Neurospora crassa OR74A: one gene and its partners. The main gene of each other region encodes a partner of the protein of the gene in region 3 in a complex. Links are inferred from orthologs where the notes say so. Each region holds a gene or a part of one and is shown on either strand. Other genes may lie near its edges. The genes, in order: NCU02804, NCU07852, NCU07560, NCU00952, NCU08299, NCU05714 and NCU06749.

The links.
Region 1: NCU07560 (region 3) and NCU02804 share a complex: the UniProt entries of both Saccharomyces cerevisiae proteins name them as parts of the mitochondrial large ribosomal subunit. The link is inferred for Neurospora crassa OR74A from reciprocal best matches to the Saccharomyces cerevisiae genes MRPL17 and MRPL25.
Region 2: NCU07560 (region 3) and NCU07852 share a complex: the UniProt entries of both Saccharomyces cerevisiae proteins name them as parts of the mitochondrial large ribosomal subunit. The link is inferred for Neurospora crassa OR74A from reciprocal best matches to the Saccharomyces cerevisiae genes MRPL17 and MRPL23.
Region 4: NCU07560 (region 3) and NCU00952 share a complex: the UniProt entries of both Saccharomyces cerevisiae proteins name them as parts of the mitochondrial large ribosomal subunit. The link is inferred for Neurospora crassa OR74A from reciprocal best matches to the Saccharomyces cerevisiae genes MRPL17 and MRPL44.
Region 5: NCU07560 (region 3) and NCU08299 share a complex: the UniProt entries of both Saccharomyces cerevisiae proteins name them as parts of the mitochondrial large ribosomal subunit. The link is inferred for Neurospora crassa OR74A from reciprocal best matches to the Saccharomyces cerevisiae genes MRPL17 and MRPL3.
Region 6: NCU07560 (region 3) and NCU05714 share a complex: the UniProt entries of both Saccharomyces cerevisiae proteins name them as parts of the mitochondrial large ribosomal subunit. The link is inferred for Neurospora crassa OR74A from reciprocal best matches to the Saccharomyces cerevisiae genes MRPL17 and MRPL10.
Region 7: NCU07560 (region 3) and NCU06749 share a complex: the UniProt entries of both Saccharomyces cerevisiae proteins name them as parts of the mitochondrial large ribosomal subunit. The link is inferred for Neurospora crassa OR74A from reciprocal best matches to the Saccharomyces cerevisiae genes MRPL17 and MRPL9.

Annotation. Positions count from the first base shown.
Region 1 is NC_026501.1:9,064,477-9,067,442, reverse strand, and holds NCU02804 (mitochondrial 60S ribosomal protein L25), read left to right. Parts: upstream 1-1,460; 5' UTR 1,461-1,652; coding exon 1,653-2,047; intron 2,048-2,135; coding exon 2,136-2,196; intron 2,197-2,257; coding exon 2,258-2,293; 3' UTR 2,294-2,466; downstream 2,467-2,966. Other genes in the region: NCU02803 (pre-mRNA-splicing ATP-dependent RNA helicase prp-28), read right to left, coding at 1-1,147; NCU02805 (diphthamide biosynthesis protein 4), read left to right, coding at 2,885-2,966. UniProt on the Saccharomyces cerevisiae protein: Component of the mitochondrial ribosome (mitoribosome), a dedicated translation machinery responsible for the synthesis of mitochondrial genome-encoded proteins, including at least some of the essential transmembrane subunits of the mitochondrial respiratory chain.
Region 2 is NC_026503.1:1,107,705-1,111,319, forward strand, and holds NCU07852 (mitochondrial 54S ribosomal protein YmL23), read left to right. Parts: upstream 1-1,476; 5' UTR 1,477-1,804; coding exon 1,805-1,825; intron 1,826-1,969; coding exon 1,970-2,500; 3' UTR 2,501-3,115; downstream 3,116-3,615. Other genes in the region: NCU07851 (superoxide dismutase 1 copper chaperone), read right to left, coding at 1-464, 626-817; NCU07853 (uricase), read right to left, coding at 3,338-3,444, 3,529-3,615. UniProt on the Saccharomyces cerevisiae protein: Component of the mitochondrial ribosome (mitoribosome), a dedicated translation machinery responsible for the synthesis of mitochondrial genome-encoded proteins, including at least some of the essential transmembrane subunits of the mitochondrial respiratory chain.
Region 3 is NC_026503.1:4,356,846-4,360,779, forward strand, and holds NCU07560 (50S ribosomal subunit L30), read left to right. Parts: upstream 1-1,180; 5' UTR 1,181-1,527; coding exon 1,528-1,564; intron 1,565-1,710; coding exon 1,711-2,483; intron 2,484-2,572; coding exon 2,573-2,869; 3' UTR 2,870-3,434; downstream 3,435-3,934. Other genes in the region: NCU16690 (hypothetical protein), read right to left, coding at 208-531. UniProt on the Saccharomyces cerevisiae protein: Component of the mitochondrial ribosome (mitoribosome), a dedicated translation machinery responsible for the synthesis of mitochondrial genome-encoded proteins, including at least some of the essential transmembrane subunits of the mitochondrial respiratory chain.
Region 4 is NC_026501.1:6,595,531-6,598,525, forward strand, and holds NCU00952 (mitochondrial 54S ribosomal protein YmL44), read left to right. Parts: upstream 1-1,173; 5' UTR 1,174-1,467; coding exon 1,468-1,648; intron 1,649-1,813; coding exon 1,814-1,929; 3' UTR 1,930-2,495; downstream 2,496-2,995. Other genes in the region: NCU00953 (hypothetical protein), read right to left, coding at 1-70, 172-521; NCU00951 (inorganic pyrophosphatase), read right to left, coding at 2,817-2,995. UniProt on the Saccharomyces cerevisiae protein: Component of the mitochondrial ribosome (mitoribosome), a dedicated translation machinery responsible for the synthesis of mitochondrial genome-encoded proteins, including at least some of the essential transmembrane subunits of the mitochondrial respiratory chain.
Region 5 is NC_026504.1:2,488,264-2,492,403, forward strand, and holds NCU08299 (mitochondrial 54S ribosomal protein YmL3), read left to right. Parts: upstream 1-1,340; 5' UTR 1,341-1,630; coding exon 1,631-2,950; 3' UTR 2,951-3,729; downstream 3,730-4,140. Other genes in the region: NCU08300 (uncharacterized protein), read right to left, coding at 262-331, 446-628, 737-756, 841-843. UniProt on the Saccharomyces cerevisiae protein: Component of the mitochondrial ribosome (mitoribosome), a dedicated translation machinery responsible for the synthesis of mitochondrial genome-encoded proteins, including at least some of the essential transmembrane subunits of the mitochondrial respiratory chain.
Region 6 is NC_026503.1:604,608-608,065, forward strand, and holds NCU05714 (mitochondrial 54S ribosomal protein YmL10/YmL18), read left to right. Parts: upstream 1-1,130; 5' UTR 1,131-1,255; coding exon 1,256-1,596; intron 1,597-1,721; coding exon 1,722-2,319; 3' UTR 2,320-2,958; downstream 2,959-3,458. UniProt on the Saccharomyces cerevisiae protein: Component of the mitochondrial ribosome (mitoribosome), a dedicated translation machinery responsible for the synthesis of mitochondrial genome-encoded proteins, including at least some of the essential transmembrane subunits of the mitochondrial respiratory chain.
Region 7 is NC_026502.1:2,066,201-2,069,671, forward strand, and holds NCU06749 (mitochondrial 54S ribosomal protein YmL9), read left to right. Parts: upstream 1-1,263; 5' UTR 1,264-1,606; coding exon 1,607-2,761; 3' UTR 2,762-2,971; downstream 2,972-3,471. Other genes in the region: NCU06750 (coiled-coil domain-containing protein 25), read right to left, coding at 1-325, 404-507, 650-689, 837-909; NCU06748 (hypothetical protein), read right to left, coding at 3,156-3,471. UniProt on the Saccharomyces cerevisiae protein: Component of the mitochondrial ribosome (mitoribosome), a dedicated translation machinery responsible for the synthesis of mitochondrial genome-encoded proteins, including at least some of the essential transmembrane subunits of the mitochondrial respiratory chain.

The DNA of each region.
Region 1 (2,966 bases), on a different chromosome or scaffold from region 3:
GCACCAGTTCTCTTGTTGGCGCCAGAATCAGGGCATATGGACCGTCGTTCTTGTTGTACTCGGTCAGGGGTGGTAGTTCGGAGATGTAAACCAGCAGAGGCAGCAAGAAAGCTGCAGTTTTACCGGAACCCGTCACGGCCACACCGATCAAGTCGCGTGCTTGAAGGGCAATGGGAATGGCAGCTCTCTGAATCGGCGTCGGCTCGTCGTAACCCACGTTCTTGACAATGTCGAGCAGACGCCTAGGCAGCGTGGACTCTTCCCAACTGCGCATAGGGTTGGGAATGGCACCGCCCTTGGTGGCAATGCCAAAGTTTTCCTTGAAGATACGCCAATCGCGCTCCTTCATGTCCTCCAGCTTCTTCTCGGACCAGTGCTTGCCCAGGTTCTTGCGCTGTTCCATCTCCTTGATCCGTCTGTGTTGTTCCAGGTATTGCCTGGCGCGCTCCTCGCCCGTCTCGGGATCGCCACGACGGATGGCTTCGGCCTTCCGCATCACCATCTCTTCCGTCATCTCGTAACCACCAAGTCGGACCAGAGGCTCTTGACGCTCTGCGTAGATGGGGTCGAAGGGTCGGCTAGTGTCGTCATCGGCATCCCAGTCAAAGTTGAACTTGTTCGCTGCCGTCCTCCTCCTCTTCTTCTTGGCCGAGAATGTGGACTGATTTACTACTGGACCCATGTAGCGGGCGCGCAGCTCTGCCTCGTCGTTCCTCTCCATCTTGGCTCGCTTCTCTTCGTCATCGTTGGGTGCGCCGCGTTTTGCGCCCCGTTGGTTTCTGTCTCGGTTATCTCTGTTGTCGCGATTGTCTCTGTAGTCCCGACCGTTGCTCATGCCGTTGGGTCCCCGGTCATCGTCGTACCGCATCGCCTTGGGTCCGGTTGGGATGTTTCGTTGAGGGTTGTGGTTGTGATGACTCTGGATACCGTCCATGCGGTTGCCGTTATGATTTGTTCCATTTGGTTGAGGCTTGGCTTCTTCCTTGCGCTTGCGTTCCTCTTCTTCCTTTGCCTTTTTCTCGGCTTCTAGCCTCTCTCGTTCCTTTTTGGGGATGAATCTTGGTTTCGCGGCGGCGGCTTCTTCCTCCTTCTTCTTGCGCAGCAGTGCTGCCAGGTCTGGGGGTTCCCGTCTTGATGTCGTGCTCATCGTGGTAGTGTATGGAGTTGGTGATGAATCGAAGGAAGAGACTGGTCGGAGGCGACAGTGTTGACAATAAACGTGTTGATTTCCAAGCAGTGCTGGGTTCCGGAATGGGGTTGTTGTTATGGCGAACTTGGGTGGTTCTGGGGTGCAGCAGCGGTGCAGCACAGTTCTCGACCCGCCCAAAAGTTATGTCACGGTTCAAGGTCGGTGATCCCTGTCGTGCCTGTTCAAGGGTCTCCACATGCCCCGCCTTACGCGGGGGGTTAAAGAGGTCGGGTTAGGGCTCAAAGTGTAACTTCCGGCTGTCGCTATGTACCGTTTCGCGACCTGGAACTTTTTCGCAGTTGGGGTCCCGTCGGCGGCCGATTGATCGCAAAGTTCCCCGTTCCGGTTCGTTCGAGCAATCCGGACCCTGTCACCTACGACAAAAACAAACAAACAAACAACCCCCCCCCCCACCTCGACCGACACAGTACCGCCAGCAGGCCGGTCGATCGACATCTTCACCATGGCGGCCACGGTGAAGCAGCACGTCCAGCTGGCGCTTTCGCTCCCACCGCGGTTGCGCACCTTCTTGGCCCGGTACCCGCCGGCCTCGATCCTGCCCGCCGGCGCCGACCCCGAGACGCACAAGACGCCCTACCAGGAGGAGAGCCCGAACCCGTTCATGCCCACCAAGCACCCAATCACCGGAAAGTGGCACAACCCCAAGTACTCGCTCAGGCGACAGGCCGAGCTCGTCAAGCTGGCCCAGGAACACGGCGTCGAGGAGCTGCTGCCCTTCACCCGCAAGCTCAACGAGGAGAAGCTACGGAAGAGAGTCGAGCTCGGTCTCCGTGTCAAGGGTACCGGTGTTGGAGAGAAGGTCAAGGGTCACAAGCACGAAAGGACACTGGTTGCCAAGTACGTTGTCGATCCTCGGCTGCTGCTGCTGCTGCTGCTGCTGGTTGGGAGGAAGTGGTGGTTTGCTGACGGTGGATTTCGCACACAGGATGGAGAAGAGGAGAGAGGCCATGCTGGCTATGCCCGACCTTATCCGGGAATGGAAAAAGGTAAGGATTGCGCCCAAACTCTTGCGGTTTGCACTCTTGTTAACCATGGGCTTCGCTACAGGTCGGCAAGAGGAACTGGACCAAGTTCCCCAAATAAGCGATCGGTTGTTGTCGCTTGTCGGGAAGATTACAACGAGAGTCACTGCCATGTCCATAGACTGTATCATCACCAACAATGTACAACAAATTTCAAGCCATTTGGAAGGGGATTGCCATCAATGTGGTTCTGTTTCCCGGTTGTTGACTGAACGTCCTCTGGCGTCTTATAAGACGGAGTTCCCCACTGTGGTTGGAGGCCGAGACGAGGTAATGTGTCTAACGGTGCAGTAAAATTTCCCCCCCGAATTTGTTTCTCTGAACAACTCACTTCACGATACCAGGCACACAACTAAGACTCAAACCACCACGTGAGAACCGACACATCACACATCCTCTTTTTTTTGCCTATTCACATTTCCTACTGTATACAGCAACATAACAAGGGCAGCGAGCGCAAAGAGACACGTGATTGCGGGATACAAACTTTTCTCTCGAAAGCTGCTCGACGCAAACCACCAACCTTTCACCACTTACACGTCGATACATTTCAACACCAAACCGGTCTCACAACCATACCATTTTATACCCGGGGCCGCACTACCAAACACCACATTGAACACCAAACCGCAAAACCACCAACACATCCAAGATGTCCCAACCAACCTTCTACGAAATCCTCTCCCTCTCACCCACCACCTCCGACCTCACCCCCGCCTCGATCAAACAAGCCT
Region 2 (3,615 bases), about 3.2 Mb from region 3:
GCCGTCAGCGTAGCAGTGCCGGACCACACCGGGCCGGCCGACTCGACACCCCGCGCAAGATCGCCGAACTCGCGGATCGTAGCGCGGTAAGTACCCGGCGCGATGCCGCGCAGCGTGAGGTCGACGAGCGTGGTCGAGTTGTTCACCTGCACCATGCGCGCCAGGCCGCGGACCATGCGGTCCGAGGCTCCCGGGGCGGGCGTGATCTTGTCTAGGGTGGGCTTGTGGTAAGTCTCGAGGATGCTGACGGCCGCGCCTTGAGAGTCGCCGGAACCGCGCAGGATGGCGTCACGGCCCGTGGACTGGATGGCGTTGACGATGGCGGAAGGCGCGGCCGTGCCTTCTATCGTGAGCAGCTGGTCCTTCAGGTTGGCCTCCACTTTGTTGATTCCGGGGAGCTTGTAGAGTGCACCGGAGACGTCGTTCACGCAGCTTTCGCAGTGCATGGGCACGGCGAAGAGAGTCTGTGAAATGAGTTAGTATGATGTGCCTCTGGAAGTATGTCAAGGTGAGTCAGATATGTGAGACAGGCTTGGACCCTTTATCTAAAGAAAAGGAAGGGCTTGGACCGAAGCTCATATGTAGGCATATATGAAAATGAGGCTGTAAAAGGGTATAAACAAACCTTGAAGGGGGTTGTGATGGAAGCCATGTTGCCGGCTATCTTCGGGATTGATGATTTGGGAGCAGCCGGGGATGACTGTGACTGAAAATAGTTCCTATGTTGTTGGCGTTGTTGCCAAAGGTATGCGCCTCCAAAACCTGCTAAAGCTAGACTAGAAATACTTAGGATTTGTCTGGCCGTGTACGGTGGCATCGGTTTCAGGCACTAAGAGGTAGCAAAGACAATACTGAGGACAGTATAGAAGTGGTGGTGTGAGAAGCAACACCAACGTGAGACGATGGATTTGTATAGAAGGCGATGGAGGAGAGCCCCACGTTCGGCGAAGGAGGGGACGACTAGGTACAATTAATAACGTTTTGGCTCCAGTCTACGGATGCTTAAGAGACGGGGTAAATGCGACTCTTGTGCTGAGATTCCTCATTGTTTCTCGACAAGAGAGTGCATGAAGTCACCTCACTGGAGTGCGAAATGTCGTTTTCCCATCTTCACTGTAAGACGGCAGGAAGGTAGATGTCGGCCTGCCAAAATGTTGATTTCAAAGCGACGGCACCTTTCTGGGACCACTTTTTGCGGGCGACCAACTGGGGCTCCGCTGTGTCCGGCTCCTCGATCGGCCCAAGCCAGGGCAATCCTGCTCCCCGAAAGCGTGTGATATGTACCGGGAAAGGAAGTGCAGGCTTTGGTACATGGGACATCAGTAAAAGAGAGCTCTAAGTGCGCCGAGTTGGTGTTTGTTAGTGCTTTCCTCAATTACACACTAAGACTTGCGGACCACCGTAGCCACCCCGCCAACCGCCAGCGGGCCGTCGTGCCCCAATCGTACGTGGAAATTTTCCGGCAAGAAAAGTGATTGCAGCTTTTGGGCTTGGCAGGCTCTGCTGCTGCCCTTCTGCAGGAGCTCCATTCTGCTTCCCGTGATACCGGACCACATTTGATACCCGTTCGCCGCGACAAGCCCCGGACTTTCTCGCGCCTGCCGAACCCGCCGTCTCGAACACTCCGGAGCCCGCCCGATCCCGTGTCATTCAATTGACCCGGACGATAACACATAGAGGTTCACTTACCACCAGTCGATGAGGGACTCGTTCCCACTGGTTTTCATACCTGCCTTCTCCACCTTAATCCTCTCTTGAACACCATAGTATACGACCTACATCACCACCGCGCAACACCGTCAACATGTCGCAAACAGTCGGAGCTGTAAGTTTCTTCCTGTTCGGACACAACTGTCCCATAATTTCGTCGTGTTTCTTACAATTTTGGCACTTGCTCGCCCTCCCGCCACCACCACCACCACCTCCACCACCCGTCACTAACCACCGCCGTCTTGCGACGAACGTGTAGACCCGACTAGCCTACTCCCGTGTCTGGCACCACATCTCCGCCGTCACCCCTCACCCCACCCTCTCGACCATCAAGGCTCCTTCCGAGGCCATCACTCCCCCTTCTCTCGGTCGCCTCGCCTCGCGCATTGCCACCATCCTGATGGGCAAGCACAAGCCGATCTGGGATCCCTCCACCGACTGCGGCGACTACGTCGTGGTGACCAACTGCGCGGGTTTGTACACGACGGGCCACAAGAAGTGGCGCAAGACGTACTACCGCCACAACACCCGGCCCGGTTCGCTACAGGCCATCACCATGGATGCGCTGATGGAGAAGCACGGCGGCGCCGAGGTGCTGCGCAAGGCCGTCAGCGGCATGCTTCCCAAGAACAGGCTGCGCGACAAGAGACTGGCGAGGCTCAAGGCGTTTGAGGGTGATGCGCACCCGTACAAGGAGAACTTGGTGCGATTTGGCGGTAAGGTGGTGGGCGCTCCAGGTTGGGAGGAGGCTGTCAAGGCTATCCGGGAGGCGGACATGGAGAGGTTATGAGCGACCATGGCTTTGAGGTGTGAAGGTCTGGTTGAAGGCGCTGGAGCTGGCTATCTACTCATGGAAGAGTGTCAGAGAAACGGGAGAGAAAGAGATGTAGGGACGAATCTACATCGAGCCGTTACGAACCATCTAGCCGACGAAGACTGAGAACTCTGTCAACTGTGAGGAAGATTGTGTGGACAACCACCTCGTTGGGGCGAGAAATCTCTCTCGTGTGTTCTTGTGTCTGTTACAGCCCACTTGGCCGTGTGATTCACGGGCAATGCCGCCAGTGTCAGTCTGTATATTACATGGGAAGCCGGTTCATGAGCCCAGCGCGCAACGGACAGTGTACGAACTTGGGTTAGAAAAAGGGGGCCTCTCATTGTACAAATATATCACTCAACAAGATACCATGATTACGACTCATGAGAGCTGTTTAGACTCATTGATTGTTTGATCTGATAAGCGATGAGCAGATCCTCATGTCCAACACGCTGAAGGCCCGCGAAGGCAAAAAGTCAGCCTCACCGATTTCACGGCATATTTTTTCACTTGGTAATTCGAGAGTGCAGCTAGCAGTGCTTTTCGGATGCTTGCTTGTTCATAATAGGAAGTTTATTTGATTACCCCTGAAAATTAGCGCCAGTCAAGATGTCCATAGCCTCCGTCTCATGATGATCCGTTGCATCAAGGTATCATCATCTTTCCACCTTCAAAACGTACGCCTGCCCGCCAACCAACCCCTCGGAACGTGAGGGGGAATGCAAAAAAAAAGAAGAAAAAAAAATGGTGATATCATAAAAGAAAGCCAAAGAAACATGTGTGACGTTTTAAAAACAAAGTTCAACAGTCTTACGAGCGAGAGACCTCGCATTTGATGAGACCGTTGGGACCAGACTGGGGAGCGTACACCTCGGCGTCCTTGCCGGTGTTCTGGAGGCCCTTGTGCCAACTGAGATCTGTTTTTTTTTTTTGGGTGTTAGTGTAAATTTATCTGGACCTATTTTTTTTTTTTTTGGTGGATTTGCGAAAGGGGTACTCACCAACTTCAAAGTAGTGCTTGTTGGGTAGCGAATAGTTGGTCTTCTCCGTCTCGGGTACCGCATCCAAGATCTGCTCGCACATCTTGT
Region 3 (3,934 bases):
CGGCATTGCGCAAGGTGTGCTGAACAAGTCGGTTGATAACGTGATGACTGCTCATTCTATTCTTGTTCATCTTTTTTTGATATTCCACTAACTTGTCCATCCATTCTGATACGTAGCCTAGTAAAGATTTGGAAAGCTTGTCCGAACGCTAGCAAGGAGGCAGGTCTGATAATTCTATGAGATGAAGCACGCATATGTATATCGTGATCAGCGACATGGATGGTGGAAATGAATATTCTGAGCTGGGCAGTATGTGCATTGCGGCGTAGCTGAGACTTCAGTAGATGTGGCCGTGCTTGATCGCGACATTGACCGGAGTGACGACAAGCAAGTGTCGGGGATGGAGAACGATCCATGAATGATCTCAGGAAGGTTCATATCCAAAGTCAAGGAATGAATCGACAGGACACCAAGCAGCCAGACAAGACGCGTGCCACAAAAACGAGGCTTGAGAAATTCGAGACGGGGAAGCATTTCACGAAGTGGCAAGAATAACACTTTCAAAGAAACCAGCCCCATCTTGACTTTCATCTAGCGAAGTCTCCTCACACGTAGTGTACATGCCATGGAGAAGGAGACTGACTGACCAGACTGACTGGGCCAAGCTCATTTCTCAGAAAGAGCAAACACACACACACACACACAAGACAGTCTGCAGTATTATTACATACATACAATGCAAAACCGTCACGAGAGTTCGCAGGAGAAAAATATGTAAGCAGATTCTATCTAACAGCAACCCGGTAGAGCGTTTATAGGCAGGTACCGCTAGCGAATTCGTCTGCTCATGGTGGTTCCTCTCGGCACGGACTAAATGATCAGGACAGTTTTGGAGGAAGAGAAACGTCGTGATGATAAGGAATGGTGCCTTGAAGAAAGAAAAAAAAGAAGAAGAAGAAGGAAGAAGAGAAGGGGAGGGGGGATTGGTGGCAGTTTTATTGCAGCAGTTCAGTTCAAAAGTTTGCTGGACCCGCTTCGGTCAGGTGAGTGGTCATGTGGGGTCGTAGGAGCCGTGAACCTAACTGAGGACGTGAAAGTTATGGTGGGGTAGGTAGCGGGGGGGATTGGTTTTGGAGAAGAAAAAGGGAAGCTTTCGAAAAGGGAAGGCGGTGAAGGAAAGTAAATCGGTTGCCAAGACTCAATTGTTCAATCGCGACCAGGAACGAAACGAGCAGGGAGGGGACCTGACTGATCGGTGCGCGGCGGCAGCGCGGCAGGCGGGAGGGCCCCAGGGAAAGAGTGGGGCTGCGGACATCGAAAAAGTTCACGGCCGGTTTCCCGCGCTGTGTGTCGCCCGTCCGTCCGCTCTGCCCTGCCTGCCTGCCCGCCCGCCCGCCCGCCGCAGCGACCGACCGACCGACCCCGTCCCGCATCCACCCCGAGACTTGCGAGAGAGAGAGAGAGAGTTGCGTTGAGGATTGGCGCGCGCGCAAGATTCACCCGTCCTCCCTCCCTCTCCCCGTCCCGTGTCCCGTTGTCTACACACCCGGGCCCCGTTCAACAACCAAGTCATATATACTGCCCATCATGTCGGCGTCGAGTAGGGGAGCTGCTCTCCTTAGGAGTATGGACCACTTTTTCTTTATCTTCTTTTCGTATCGTCAACTCGTTACGAATTGGTGTTTTCCATGCATGGCTTCCGATCGCAAACTTTAAGCTTAAAGACACCATAACTAACCCGTCGCAATCTGTTCTTTCTCTTCCTTCCAGGCCAACAACGGTCCATCTGCCTACAATGCCGCAACCAAACCCGAGTACTTGCGCCCGCCGGCGTCACCAGCGCACCTAGACGTTTCTACTCCGCCGAGGCCTCTGCCACTGCCACTGCCACTGCCACTGCCACGACCACAACAACACTACCCCCTCCTCACCCGCCCGTCACCACATCAACAGGCACCCACGCCGCCACCTCGACCTCGTCGCAAATCTACCGCATCAAGTCGGGCGTGATCCTGACCCGCCCCCCGCTGCTGACGCGCGACCTCACCCCCTTTGAAGAATCCTTTTACTTTTACCAGAAGCGCCTCAACGAGCGGCTGACGGCCCCCTTCCGCAAGGACTTTTACTTCAAGAAGGACACGGCCGCCGACCTGGACTGGCGCATCAAGCTGAAGGAGCGCCACGGCGTGCCCGCCAAGGACATTGGTCGGTACAACCCGCGCGGCCGGATGGCGTGGAACGACGAGGTGCTGGTGGGGTCGCAGACGTCGTCGAGAAAGCACATGGTGGAGAAATTGCTTGCCGACGCGGAGATGCGCGTGTCGGAGGATGGCGAGGAGATCCCCGCCGAGGACCGGGTCCCCGTCGAGAAGCCGATGCCGAGACGGACGGAGGCGGATGAGAAAGGGGATGTCAAGCGGTTGGATCGCGCGCTGGACAAGACGCTTTATCTGGTAGTCAAAAAGAAGGCGGACAAGGAAGGCGAGGAGGCCAAGTGGATGTTCCCTACGGGCGTGGTGCCTACGGATGAGGGGTTGCATGAGGTTCGTTATATTCCCTTTTTCCCCAACCCAACTTCCAACCATTTTCCAAAACTCGCGGCCAACTAACCTTTGATGATGACGATAAACAGACCGCAGCCCGCATCCTCGCCGAGTCCGCAGGCGTCAACATGAACACGTGGATCGTCGGCCGCGTGCCCGTAGCCCACCACGTCGTCCGCCCCGTCTTCGGCCAGAAGGACGGCGCCCTGCTCAAGAAGGGCGAGAAGATCTTCTTCCTCAAGGGCCGCATCATGGCCGGCCAGGCCGACCTGACCGACAACCTGCATGATCTGGTCGACTTCAAGTGGCTCACGCAGGAGGAGCTGCGCAGCACGTTGGCGGAGGAGTACTTCCACAGCGTCAAGGGCATGTTTGCTGAGAGGTGAACAACACAACACAACAACACCCTATGTAGCCTGGTCTGGTGAAGTGAAGTATGGAAGAACAAGGTTGGAGAGGTGATGATGAGTCGATGGTCGAAGTCGGTGAGACTACACCATTATCTTCCGGGGAAATAGAATGGGGAAGTGCAGTGGGTGGCGGAAGAAGAAGAAGAGAGAAGCATGTGTACAAATGTATTGATATCAAAAGATGGTTTTAGTCGGTCGGTGGCAAGGTACAATTGTTGTTTATGCGCTGAGTAGACCTGGACCGCCCCCTAGCCGAACACAATCAAAGGTCTCGAGGAAGAGAATCAGAGATGGTTTGGAACTTGACTTGACAGTTCAAAGGCCTCGCACGCCTCAGCGTACTTGACCAGGCCGAAGCCAAGCTCGCATGCCATGTCTGCAAGAAGCGGGCGAAGGCTGACATGAAGCACAGGGACGAGAGAGGGTGTTGTTTGTAATGTAAAAACATATGCTGTGTATAGAGATTTGGGATGAAGATGTCATACAGGATGCGAGATGGTTGGTGAATACTACCAGACATCCGCTGGGTTGGTCATACCGCTATCTGAGGTGAAGTCTGATACTAACATACACAAACAAGACAGACTGAGCTAATCACATATCTGTGACCCGATTCTGCATTAGAGACGTGGATAGGTATGGCAGTGACCTCTTCAAGATCCAGCCTTGATCAATGATGAACACCGGTTCTCCCGGCTTGAGACACACAGTCAAAGCTTGTGCCAGCCGCAGACCAAAGCAACGGTACTTTTGAGCTGGTTGAAAGTCCACACCACGGCGGCCTGTAGGATATCTTCACACGTCTCCTACGCCTCCATCAGGACATCCTCCTTGATCATCCATATAAGGCCGTTGGCTTACACCTCTAGCTGGGACACTTCTCGCGCGCGTACCAGTGGTGTACTCCTCCATTCCTCGTACATCATTAACAAATTACTTGTTGGCATTACCACACCACACACAAGTCAAGTCTCAAATCTCCACCCATCTGAAAAGCAATCTGAATAACACACAAATCGTGCCCAAAGCCCACACAAAAAG
Region 4 (2,995 bases), on a different chromosome or scaffold from region 3:
CTCGAGGCGCTGGGCGGTTTCAAGGTTGCGGCGCGCCGCGAGTTGGGCTTTGCGGAAGGAGGTTCGACAGCTGTATTTTTTTGAGACGCAATTTTGTTAGGTACGTTGTTTATCTTCATCTTCATCATCGTCATCACCATCCAGGCTGAAAAGATGAGAAACAAAACTCACCCCTTAAGCTCGGCAGCCAAGCGTTGCGCGCCCTCCTTTAACCTCGTCTTTTGATGTTCCGCCTCACTCCCTGGGCGGCCGGAGCGCAAGTCGATAATCTCCTCCTGCAGCAACTCCAAATCCTCCTCCTCCTCGCGCAAGACCTGGCTGATTTCGGCGCTCAAGTCAGCGGCCTCACTGTTGGTGGTTCCATCGGCGCCAGTGTTCGCGAGACTGCTGATGCTGTTGCTCAAAGGAACGGAACCGGGCTCGAATTTGAGCGTGGCGAGACGCTCGATGAGGTCCTTAAGCTGGCCGGTCGTCTCTTGGAGGGCCGTGAGCCGCTCTTGAAGCGTTTCGAATGTTGACATTAGTGACTTGTTGTATTATGTCGGTATTGCATTCGTAGGGAGTTGACTCGGTAAAGGTAGATAGATATGTGTTGGAAAAAGGTGGATGTGTAACAAATGGTTTCCATGGATCGTAGTCGGATCCCACTTAGGTACCTGGTGTTGATCAGCAGCTGTGCTGTTGTTGATAATTAGTGGAAACCTGGCCTGAAAGGAGAGCACTGTAGCGATGTTCAATGGAAGTTCTCGGTGGGCGTGGCTCTTGCAACGTCATCCTCAAGGTCAATGAAAACGGATCACATGCGGAATTCGGTAACGGAGTTCAAGTTACAACTCGCTGGGGCAAATGGGAGTACGTACTGTTGCGCTGAAGGAACAAAGCACAAACTTACACACTCAGGGCTACAGACTAACACAATGTAATAGAAGGCCAGAAGTGATTCTCTTCCCGTTCAGAAGATTAAAAAGATGTATTATGTCAATTGATCTGATGTAGTGTAAATATGAATGCAAAATCGAGCCTGACACCGTTTGATCCCAGTTGGCTCCCAACCAATCACAGCCCATCTCTCACACGTAGCACGCGCCGTCCCGCATTCTCCGTTTTACAAAAAACACCCCTCCCGGTCCCCGGCGCAATCGGTACGTACCTCCAGTAATTTTTGATCGCATCCCTCCTCCACGCTGCCGGCCGGCGCCAGGCACGAAGACCGAATCGAAGTCCAAATCGCGACACACAAGCTACGTACCCCGTCCGATCCTCCACAGAGACCCGTCTCCCGTCTCCCGCGTCTCCGTATCCGTCCCCGTCCGGTGTGCAGTGCAGTCCCGTCGTCGCAAATTCGCAAAGTCGCAGTCAGGCCTCCGCGTTCCTCCTGCTTCTTCTTCTTCTTCTTCTTCCTCCCCGAACCCAACCCCAACACGACCTCAGGTCACCACCACCACCACCCGAGAGACCTCGCCCAACATGCTCACCCGCTTCATCACCGACGTATCAACGCGCTTCAACCCTTTCTCGGCCAAGGCCAAGGCCGCCCGGCTCTTCCTCTCCTTCCTCCCTCCCAACGCCCGCTCCAATGGCATGAACATCACCACCCAGCTTCTGCCGCGGAATTCCACCGAGACTCCTTTGCTCTACGTCAAGTTCAGTACGTTTTCCCAATGTCTCTCTTCTTGTCACTTGCAACTCTGTCACACATCGACGGACCGCCGTTGCAGTTGGTTGTTGCAATTTGGATCATTCCGGCTGGAAGGCAATCAAGAGTCGTTAGCTGTGAATCAAGCCGTAGTCTAACGTATTTGAAAAAAAACAGAGGACGGCAAGGAAATGAACCTCGACGTTGAGAACATGGGCATCAAAAGCATTGTCGAGGAGGTGGATCGCCACTCTCGTATCCTTCAGAAGCAGGCCGACTTGAACGACGGTTAACCGAATCTCTGTCTTTCTTTTCTTCTTCAAAACCCAGCAATCTCGAGACGCCCTTGTTGTGTTTTGATCCACCAATCGAACTTTGCGGGTAAAACGAGGGAGACTGAGACTAGGAAAAAGGAGGGAAAAGCCACGGGAAGAGCGACGAAAGCCCATCTTGTCTTGATACCCAGACTACTTGGCTTTGGTCCGTGGTACCAAAATGACGATTGACCGGGAGGAGAAGAGGAAAAGTCTGGATATCTAAAGGCACATTCGAATCACCTGGGTAAAGCCAGCGAGCTTGGAGCCGGATACCTGACGACCTCTCTGAGAGATCTGTAAGATCGCCTTACCAGCCAAAAAGAAGAAAACAACAACAAAAGATATGAACCTGTATTTGTATTGGGCAAGAGGTTGTAAGTGTACACCAACAGCATTGGGAGGCGTTAAGGGGCCGGCGATTTTCAGTTGGCAAGGCAGTTTGGGTACCTGTTGTTATAGACATGCGTATATAGCACCTCTGCCATGGATTGATTCACACACATCACGGTACGCCCATTTTGACAAAGTCAAAGTTGAGATCGGCCTTTTTTTTTTTTTTTGTTTTTGTTTTGGCGACCGTGTTTCCTTCGATGGGGAATTCATCAACGGTATCGGTATATTTCAACGGCGAAACTCATGGCGCAAGAATGTCGAGCATCTCCTCGACAAGTCCCTATCCCACGGCATGGACTACAGCCTCAGAAATGGCCAATCTCTGACCGCGCATACCTTGTTGCAAAGACGTTCGACTCTACGCAAAACAACGCATGAGGGTAACACCATGGAGGATTGTTCACGACGAATTGACCAATACAACAAAGTGCCAATAAATTATCTTTATTCTACCTCAACAAACGAACTCTCTAAGCGGAAGCACCGCTGATGAAGAACCACTTGTCGATGGAGCTATCGATAGGGGCAGGGGGGAGATTCTCGTTGGGAGGGAGGGGAGGAAGCTGGTCAGGGGCAACACGGCTGCTGGAGTGCTGGACAGTGACGTTGGTGGTGGAGACACCGCCAGGGGCAGTCTTGCCGGTGATGA
Region 5 (4,140 bases), on a different chromosome or scaffold from region 3:
ATAGAGGTAGTTTCCTCTATAATCCATTACAGAACTGATCCACATCAAAGTTAGCTTTATTCACGACGTAGCCAGGCTCTGGAGCACCAACGCAAGACGGCCAGCGGAGGGTAACCGACGTTGAATGTATTCCGAATATTGCATTACTACCACCAACCGGCCGGCCTCAACCAAGCCAAGATGTCCTGTTATTCCATCAAGCCTTTGGAAGCCATGTACTGTATGACCAAACGGCCGGGGTGGCAGGGCCTATGCCCAAATTTACTTTTTCTCCTGTGTCGTCCCGTTCTCCTTTTGCGCCCGCTCATACTCGATAATCTGTCTGCTCCAGCTAGTGGAGGTAATATCGGTTGCGTCAGCTTAAGAACATCCCCGCGGTCTGCGCTCGCGGAAAACGTTACGCATGTATAAAAATTTGGATGGGGGTCTGTCTGCCAGGACATACTATCTGCTGGGATAAAAGCGACCAGGCTCGGGCATCTTGTGACGGTACTCTTTCTCGGCGCTAAGCTTCCAGACTGCGGCAGTGATGAGGAAGACGACGCCACCGAGAACAGCCGTGTTCTTCTTCCAGTTGGCCGGCTGGGCGTACCAACCACCCGAAGGCGACCAGACGTGTTTGGGGTAGCTGGAGTGAAGGGCGAGGCAACGATTAGGACGGATCCATGACACAACGCAGGCTGGGTTGGACAGAATGCGCGGAGGGTTTGCGCATGTCGAGGGCGATGAAACTCACGGAACTTGGGGACCGCCGCCCTATAGACAGGAAAAATAGAGAGTTAGCAGACACAAAACATAGTAGTGATGATGGCTATTCTAAGCAATCGGGTGGATACGCACCATTGTGATGAAGTTTTGGGATATGTGGTGAGGTAGGTTGGACGTTCAACGAGGAATGATTCTTTCCACCTCGCAGTTAAGCAAGATCGGTTTGTACTGTCAACTTTGCGATGCACTGCGAACGACGGCACAATAGTGGTGATGCTTCAGCGGGAACAATTGGATAGAAGGACGAATGATGAATCCGCCTACAGGCTGACGAGGGGCTAAATCGCATCAACCATCCAGGCCTGAAAGTCACCATGTCACTCGTCCTAACTGGGGCCGAGGGCGCATGCGACAGACGGGCGGCGGGCGGCGGGCGGGCAGCTCCCGCTTGTCCACCACAGTGCACCGTATGCTAAACAGACAGCGCAGATAGTGGATTGGGGTCGAAGATGGATCTTGTGGGGACCCTCACTGGGCCAACAACGAATCATGTCAGCCGGCTTTTATGTCTCGGTCTTGGGGGAGTAACCCCTGCGCTTGAGCACTGATTCACGGCTCTGGGTGGTGGGCTTGTCTAGTGTACGGGTGGTGAGCGTTCAGATTGGAGAACTTTTTTTTTCTACCCGTGTTCGACGGCCGGCCGAGTCTGAACGAGAACCCATCCGATCAACGCGCGACTCCGACCGGGATCCCGAGTAGCTTCCCACCCCGCGACCACCGGCTCACCACCTGCCCGTCCGATTTCCCTCACTCCATCCTTTTCTTGGCAGGGCCTCCAGACGGCGCACACTTACGGAACCTGGGCCCCAGCACGTCAACACCCGGTTGTCGAGCCGACCATCACCCATCAAATATATCGCCCATGAAGAGGATAGCAACGCCCAGCTTGACGAGCCGGCTGCTCGTCGCCGCTCGCTCCGGAGTGTCGCCCGCCACTGCCGCCATCCGATCCCGATCTGCAATCTCGGTGCGATCGCAATCGACAGCTGCCCTCGCTCAGCACGATGCATCCCACGATCTCAACAATGATCGGTTCCCCCCGCTTGAGCCCCTCCCCCCCGCGGCCGAGTCCCTACCGTCGCCCCTCCCCGAACGGGCCTTGACCTCGGCCAAACTGGCCGCCCTCCACGCCCGTTTGAATCTTTCTCCCAAGATCCCCTTACAGACATTGGCAAGGACACTGGTCGACGCCTCGGCCGACGAGAACCCGCAGTTCAACAACGCCAACCTCGCCTTCGTTGGCCAGACCCTCATCAACTACCATATTGCCGAATGGCTCCTCTGCAAATACCCCCGTCTACCCCAGGGAATTCTCTTCAGTGCCATGAAGGCTTATGCCGGACCGAAGCCCTTGCTCCAGATTGCGCGGTCATGGGGTGTTGATACCGCCGCGGTGCCCGGCGGCGAGGTGGATCCCGGTCTTCTGCAGTTCGATGCCCTTAAGCCCGGCGTCGCCATCACAAATTTCGGCTACAAGCGTACAGAGCTCGCCTACCTCGAGAAGTTCAAGTGGCGTCGCGGTATGGCCTCGCGTGTCGTTCTCGACGACGACTTTGGTGATGTCGTGCGCAGCGACCCCAAGGTTGCCGCCGATCTGGAGAAGGCGATGGAAGAGCAGGATCAGGACAAGACTCCCGACGAGGAGGAGGCCGAGATGGTCGCTAATGAGCAGGACCAGGACGTGAGCTACGACCGCTACGGCAACCCCGACACCCGGGCCGCTGCTGAGCGGGCCCACGCCTACTTTGTGCGCGCCGTCGTCGGTGCCATCTACGCCCACTGCGGCCGCGAGGCCGCCAAGGCCTTTGTCAAGGCGCACATCATGTCGCGCACCCTCGACATTGCCAAGCTCTTCGAATTCAAGTACCCCACCCGCGAGCTCGCCGCGCTCTGCGCCCGTGAGGATTTCGAGCCCCCCGTGGCTCGTCTCCTCTCCGAGACGGGTCGCCAGTCGCGCACCCCCGTTTTTGTTGTCGGTATATACAGCGGCAGCGACAAGCTCGGCGAGGGCGCCGCCTCCTCTCTCGACCACGCCCGCTTCAAGGCCGCCATGAACGCCCTGAAGGCTTGGTATCTCTACAGCCCTGGCGAGAACCCTCGGGTACCCAGTGATATGCTGGAGGAGGGTGCCAAGCCCTGGACGCCAGCATACATTGATATGGGTGAGGTTATCTCCCGCTAAATGAGGAGGCTGAAACACGGAGCATGGCGGCGGACAGTACGGCAGGGCAGTAGAGAACTTAGGAAGTGTATGAAACGAAAGGTAAAAAGAGAGTCGCAGATGGCCTGCTTACACTCTCGGTTTTATTGGTTGTGCGGCCCATCAACTCGGGATAGGTTCCCCTTGTGGAAATCGACGCAAGAGGATCGAGAGGGAAACAAAACAACGAGTGGATTTTGTTGGTGTGGTCTAAAAGCTCAGCTTACCTTTCCACTCTTGTCCTGTCCTGTTGAGAGCGGGCAATTTCCGTCCTGCGAAGGAAGGGGATATTAAATGGATGGTCCTCTCCCATCCAGTCACTCCCTTTCCTTCCATTGTTTCTTGCTCTTTTTGCCAAAGACGAGATGTTGTATACAGATTTGCGCGCAACGGACATACATGTACACACACGCACACCCCCGCCACATATACCAATACAAAGGGGGGTTGGGACGGAACGGGGAATGAAGAGGGTCTGGATGGTGGCTGCTTGGCTCTGCTTTCGACAAAGAGAGACACAACCCTCGTCGGGGTGGCATCTGTGTCCTTCTTTCTCAGTGTATAATACCAAAAAAGTAGCCGAGGCCAGGGAGAAGGAAGATCATCGTCTGTATGTGTAGCATTAAGAAGTCAAATTTTTTACGAGGCATCAACGAAGTACATGACATGATAAATCCTTCCTCTACGTATTGACTGCTCTGGCATGAGGAGAAGGCTGTGTAAGAGAGAATATGGTACTACGCAATTTACACGCATTGTACAATTCCAGGATGTGTAAGCCCTTGTTTTGTATAACAAGCATCGTAAAGGAAGAAATGGGAATACGCAACCGGCAAGAGTAAAAGACCGGACGACGAGATCGAGCCTGGAAGTTCCTCCCAAGCTTGCGCGCCTTCCATTCATCCAAACTAGAGGTTGTTTAGTATCTATTTTGCCTTGTGCTTTCTTCACATTGCTCTTGTTTATCTTATACGTGAGAGGAAGATGAAGTTGGTGAGAGGGGAGATGAAATGTGGACTGTTCTCTCTGTAGTTGCGTCCTCACTTTCTCACCCCCTCCTGGTACTTTGTCACGACGTTTCCAAAAACACGTTCATCAGAACTTGCGACCTGATGCAAAGGGATCAATGAAGGAGACTTTGACAACTATAGAATTGGCATATTGTTAAGGTA
Region 6 (3,458 bases), about 3.8 Mb from region 3:
ACATGAAGAGCAAAAAGCTCGGTCGCCCAGGTAAGTTTGTAGAACGAACGACAATACCCCAACTGCAGACCTACGAAAAAGCCACACATTTTCATCAACGGGAACCACTGTGCCAAAAGATCACAGAGTTCCGTTATGCCAGAGAGATCAGTTAGGGAACCCGACCTTATATAATACCTGTAGGCTACAGCAGAGGGTACTAGAGGTTTGCGGCCTGGGCGGGAAGGGATCTTGTCATCCGATGTTCCCGTCGGTGAAGGGCGTGCCGACCGATTGCCGGTGGCAGGAGCGGTGGCAGGTACCTGGCGCGTGGTTTGGGCTTGGGACTGACATTCCATGCTTGAAATTCAGACAGACTTGAGTGAAAAGCCATTTCGGAGCGGCGCTTCTCTGCTTGACTTGGAAAGTTCCATCACGATCGGTTATGTTTATCCCGCGAAATGACTGCACGCTGTCCCTTGCTCTGTTCTGCAGTAAACGTTATCCGACAGCAAAGAAGGCTTAACAATTACATTCTTTCTATCAGCCATACAAACACCTTCAGTAAATCAAAGTAACATTCAGGCAATTCCAGCGTGTATGTCACTCATGCCATTCTCAACACTCCCGAACCCCACCAGCTCGATTGGCTCATGGCTGACACAGAACCCCCTTCGACACGCCCTACTTCAGGACTTCTGTGTAATTCTAGCGTAGGTCGCAGTTGAGACCCATCTATAATAGGTTTCTAGTATGAGCTGCTCTTGGCTGCCTGTTTTGCGTTGCTCTCAAAGGCAATACTTTAAGCATCCCACAGTTGTACTTGCACAATATTTTCTCAACGCACCTCCAATGGCCTCGGGACACTCAATTTATGATCATTCCGACTGGGTGGAAAAATTCCCTAAACTCGCACCAGATGTTCTTCAGCCTGTTAAGCCGCGGTACAATCACTCTTAGGGACTTTCACCGCACTGAACCTTTGACATGTTCTTGCATATCCCGTGTAAGTGATATCGAACATGGATATTTTGGAGCATCACGGTCCCTTGGCGAAGGACGTCGGATGTGGACCAGCTGCTGACTCAGCCGCCCATTCGCAATTGACCGAGACCAACGAGGGCGCACGGTCCACCCCCGCGACGCAGGTGTCGGAATTTGGCTGGGCGCGGGTCCTGAACTTTTGTTTTCGGGGAAGTGCCGTTGCCGTGAGGAACGGAATCCGGAAGACTGCCCGACCCAGACCCAACCCACTCCCGTGTCCTCCGCCTCCGTCATGCCTCCCAGGTTACCGCTCGCCCAGGCGGCGCGATGCTGCCAGGCCTCCCTCACAGCCCGCCCTTCGGTCCCAGCCTCGTCGCCGACGTCGTCCCTCATTTCGCTCTTTGCTGCCCTCTCCGTCCAGACCAGGAGCGCATCCATCCTCGCCAGCCTGTCCGACAACCGGGGCGCCTACCACAAGCGCATTCGCAAGGGTCGCGGTCCTTCGTCCGGCTATGGCAAGACTGCCGGTCGCGGTACCAAGGGTCAGAAGGCCCACGGTCATGTTAAGCCATGGTTCCAGGGTGGTCAGACGCCCTTGATCGTCTCTCACGGCCGCAAGGGTTTCGTTAACCAGTATGCCGTCCCGACTTCCCTACCTCGCTTGCTATGCGCCATGGCCAAGAACTCTCCAGCATGCTATCCGATAACCTATACCTACCAGATACATGATGGAGACTAACCATTTGTGTCTTTCATAGGTTCGCTGCCGACATGTCCGAGCTTAACCTCGAAAAGCTTCAGGAATGGATCGAAGCCGGCCGTATCGACCCCACGAAGCCCATTACCCCCAAGGAGATCATCAAGTCCGGCATCATTGGCAGCAGCATCAAGGACGGCATCAAGCTTCTCGGCCGCGGCAAGGAGAGCTTCAAGATCCCCGTCACCATCACCGTATCGCGCGCGTCCGCCTCCGCCATTGAGGCCATCGAGGCTGCCGGCGGCAAGATCGTCACCCGATTCTACACCAAGGAATCGCTCAAGCGTCTGGTAGAGGGCAAGTCTCTTCATACCGACAAGCCGCTGCCGGTGGGCAAGGAGCACGTGGAGGAGATCCTGGCGCAGGCGCGATCGCTCAAGAAGAAGTACTACCGCCTGCCGGACCCGACCAGCCGTTGGGATATTGAGTACTACAGAGACCCGGCGCATAGGGGCTACCTCAGCCACCAGCTTGCGCCTGGCGAGTCGCCCAGTTTGTACTTCAAGGTACCGACGGGCGGCGAGAAGGTCAAGGTGGTCAGGGCCGACAAGGTCAAGGCCAGCAAGACCGGGGATGTGGCGTCGGAGAAGCTCTTCTAATGAACACGAACATTGCCTGGGATGGCGGTTTTTCCGAGACTCGTTGTTGCGCTCTTCCTCGTTGTTGTATGATAGGTACTGGGCCCGTTCATGGCTCTGTGCTTTGTGTTGTATTATTATCATCCGCGTATTGTCAGTCCAGCGTCTTGCTCCTCGGATCAGTTCTATTTGGGTCCTTGTACATCATACAGGTCTCACCTACGGGAGTGGATTCCCACATGCGGCCAGCACTCCACTTGCTGACAACGCAGGTGAATCATGAAACTCCCTTGATTGACGTGTTCCTGCTTTTGCGATCCATCGTAGTTCGAAGATGGGCTTTATAAAGTAAATATCACTTGGCTGCGTGTTGACATGGTCCAAACGACGGATCTCGAAGACTTGCTGTCCCGTACCTGGCAGTCGGAAGAACAGCCATTGGCCAGTGACATGTCAATCCCGCAAGCTGACCCCGGTCAAGTCCCGGTCCTGGGCGGTCCCCGGCCATTCCTTCCAGGGCAGCTTCCACGGGGACGGTGAATGGGGGCATTAGAAAATATGGGTCTGATCACGTGCCAGGTCGCTTTTGGTACCTTCTCCATACCAGCTTGTAATTACGTCCGAAAACAGCCGTCAATACCCGACTTCTCTGCAAATTACCAATTAGTGTTAGGGTTAGTTAGGGTTAGTTAGGGTTAGTTAGGGTTAGGGTTAGCTCCGGGGGTGCAGGGGGCCGGTGAGAGGCCCCCGCATGTGAATGTGAATCGTTAATATTGACATATGTCAACCATATGCCGACCATATGTCTTGTAATTACGGTAATTACACGGGTGACTTTCGATACCTTCGGCTTAAAGAAAGTGGAGTATGCACGGACCAGTCTAATGCCCCTAATCACCATGCCCAGCTTCCACAGCGGGAACCGTCCACTGAAGCCACTGTATGCAGCCCTCCCGAACGGGATTGTGTCAGCTTTGGAGTCGGCGCGTGCCCTCCACCCACTCTGCCCGCCGCGGCGTCATCATTGATGCATCTTGACTTTTCTTTCCTCGAGCGGGAGAGACCAAACTTTGTCGTTGTCAACATCACGACCTGCTTCAACTTTTTTCTTCATTTCTGTGTTTCATTTTCTTCTTTTTCTTCTTCTTCTTCTTCTGGCT
Region 7 (3,471 bases), on a different chromosome or scaffold from region 3:
TCATCGTAGGCATGATCCTTCTGCCACTTCTTCTCGGCCCGCTCCTTCTTCAGGCGATCCTCCTCCTTCTTCCGCGCCAGCACCGCCGCCTGATCCTTCTTGCGCAGCTCTTTGAGATGCTGCTCCTTCTCCTCTCGCAGGTCCGGGTGCTTCTCAACCTTGGTCTTGTTCAGACGGTTGACGATAGCATTTTCGCGCTGCGCGATCAAAATGCGCTTCACCTTCTTCTGATCCTTGAAGCTGACCTGGCCGACCGCCATGCTGCCGTCCTTCTTGAGATTGGCCCATGGGGTATAGATGATTGTGATGTTGTCCTTCTTGTTACCTTTACAAAAGCACAGAGTTAGTCCTCACGAATTCCCCCATGACTTCCTGACAGTAGAATTCAAAAGCAGCAACTTACCCTCGATGGAGTTGGCCTTGGTCAACTGACCAAGGTCGGTCAGGAGCTCCTCGGGAATGTTCTCCCATGTCCAACCCTCTGGGAGACGGAGGTAGATATGAGCACTGGAAAGTTTGTCGACATGGAACTAAGTAGGGCCTAGTAATGAGAAACAGAGCATAATATGACGAGAACCTCATGGGGAGTCATACCCTACGAAGAATAGTTAGAAAATGCCGAACTAGGCTTGGCCGGGGTGAAACTTACCATACATCCTCCTCCCAGCCGTGTTGGATCAACTCCTCGTCTATAAAATAGCATGTTAGATGAGTGACGAGCTGACATCTATATCCAAGTCAAATATGCAATGTCCATGAGTGTGTCAAGATATATGCATATTCCACAAGGAGATGCAGAATACCACCAATTGTGGCTGATGATCATCTTCACGTACTCTCAAACTTGTCTTTCCCCACATAAATGAAAGCCGGGGGACTGACGACGGTCGAAGTGAAATAGAAGACCATGGTTGCTGATGCCTTTGGAAGAAATGAAAGATGGGAATATTGGGTATCTCAAAACGGCGACAATGAAAAAGACACTTCGTGCAAGAAGGGAAACCAAGATGCAAAAACGCGATTTCTTCTCTGGGGCTGTGTGGTGGTGGTTCGAGTGAAGATGTTTTAGCGGTTGAGTTTGGGGGATCCAATGCGGTAAAATGCGCCCGCACTCCAGCGGAAGTAAAACTACCTAAGTGAATAGAAAGAAGCAATTAACCCTAACCCTTCTTGTAGAGATGTCACACTCTGTACACCACAATCCGCCAAATACATAGTACCCGCCTGTGAATAGCCGCCCCTCCCCTGTCAATTGTGAATCCCCGGATGCCGAACCGATCGACGTTATCGGGGGGGGAGCATCCCGTTACTGAATTTCTGAGTGGCTATCAAATTTCTGCTGCTCCGTGCTTCGAGCCGGCGACCACCACTCCCGCACCCGCCCCAAAACCACCTCAACGGCCGCGCGCCGAAACGACCTCCCAACTCCGCCCCCTCCGGTTCGCGTCTCGAAGACAGCCGGTGTCCTTTCCATTCCCCCCACTCGACGCTCCGGGGCCCCGACATCGATACAACGAACACCGTCAGGTCCAATTGACTGCGACCAACCCCACCAAAAGCAACACAACACCACCCAACCCTCCCCTCAGACTTATACACATACACGATGGCGCCCCGGCTGCCCGCGCGCTGCTGGAGGCAGCTCTCCCTCGTCGAGAGGTCAGCCACCCACACCACAACCACCGCCGCCGCCAGCTCCCTCCTCCTCGCCGGCCGGACCACACCCACCTTCTCCGCCTCCTCGCCATCGACTGTCTTTCCCTCCCTCCTCCCTCAGATCACAAAGCGCGGCGTCAAGTACGGCTGGAGCACGCTCCCGAAGCGCAGCAGGCCCACACGATTCAACCAAGTGACGCAGGGTCTTCCGGCGCCCACCTCGGGCCCGGCCGCTGCCCTCAAGCGCCGCGAGAAGACTACACCCCTGCGCACCGGCGTGCTCGCTGTCAAGAAGGGCATGACCGTCTTCATGGGCCGCACCGGCGCCCGCATCCCCTGCACCGTTCTGCAGCTCGACCGGGTCCAAGTCGTCGCCAACAAGACGCGCGCCAAGAACGGCTACTGGGCCGTCCAGGTTGGCCTGGGCGAGCGCCGCGCCGAAAACGTGGGCGCCCCGCAGCTCGGCTACTACGAGGCCAAGGGCATCCCGCCCAAGCAGACGCTCGCCGAGTTCAAGGTGCGCAACCAGGACGGCTTGTTGCCGGTCGGCGTCCAGCTGTTTCCGGACTGGTTCCACGTCGGCCAGGTGGTGGACGTGCGCGGCATCACGCGCGGTATGGGTTTTGCCGGTGGTATGAAGCGTCACGGCTTCGCCGGTCAGGAGGCGTCGCACGGTAACTCGCTGAACCACCGTACCATTGGTTCCGTCGGTGGTTCGCAGGGCTCCGGTTCGCGTGTGTTGCCCGGCAAGAAGATGCCCGGTCGCATGGGCGCGCAGCAGCACACGGTCCAGAACCTGCCCATTCTGATGGTGGACAACGAGCTCGGCATCGTGGTGGTCAAGGGCGCGGTCGCTGGTCACAAGGGTGCGGTTGTCAAGGTTCAGGATGCTGTCAAGAAGGCTCCTCCCCCGGAGGAGTTTGTCGAGGCCACCAAGCAGCTCCTCAACGAGCGGTTCCCTGATGCGGAGGAGAAGTTGCAGGCGGCGAGGAAGTTGCACTTGGAGCTCAAGGAGGCGAGGAGACAGGGCCTGATAGATTCGCTCATCAAGAATGGGCTGACAGAGAAGGCGGATGGAAATGCTGCGGTAGAAGCTTCGGCTTAAGAGAGGGGGGCTGTCTCTGGTCTGTAGTATGTGTTTGTACTAGGTTTATGGAAGGGAATGTATGGTAAAGCCTTCCCGGTTTCTCATTTTTTTTAGTTCTCTCTTGTATGATACACACGCATCGTGGGGTGTTAAAATGTACAGCTACCGAAAATGTATAACAACTTGAACATACAACCCTTGCCCGTGATAGGTTCGTATGTTCTCTCCCTATATCTTACACATATTCCTCCTTGACAGCCTTCGGGTATTCAATCAGAGAGCCAGACCACGATCCTGTCCTTCAGCTCATCCTGTTTGAGAGGGGGAGAGGGGGACCACCACCTTCCCCGGTTCCCATATATATCCTCCCTTTTTTCAAAACTATTCCCTCCTTAAGAGCACCCCAAAACAATTACTTGGGCATCTGCCTGAAACCCCTGACCTTCGCATCCTCTGCATCATCATCCAGCTCAGGTTCCATCGCACGGCCGTTGATAGCTCTGAACGGATCGCCCTCCTCCAGCAGGTCAATGACCTTGCCGTCCTCCGTCTCCAGACTCCACTCGGTCGTCTCGAACATGCCTCGGGGCGTGGGCCGGAAGCTGGCGAAGCGCATCACGCCCGTGCGCTTGGTGCCCTTGACATTGAACTTGATGTCGATGCGGCCGTGCAGCTGGTTCATCTCGCCCGAGATCCACGGAATCTGCGCCTTGAAGTAGATCTCGTCA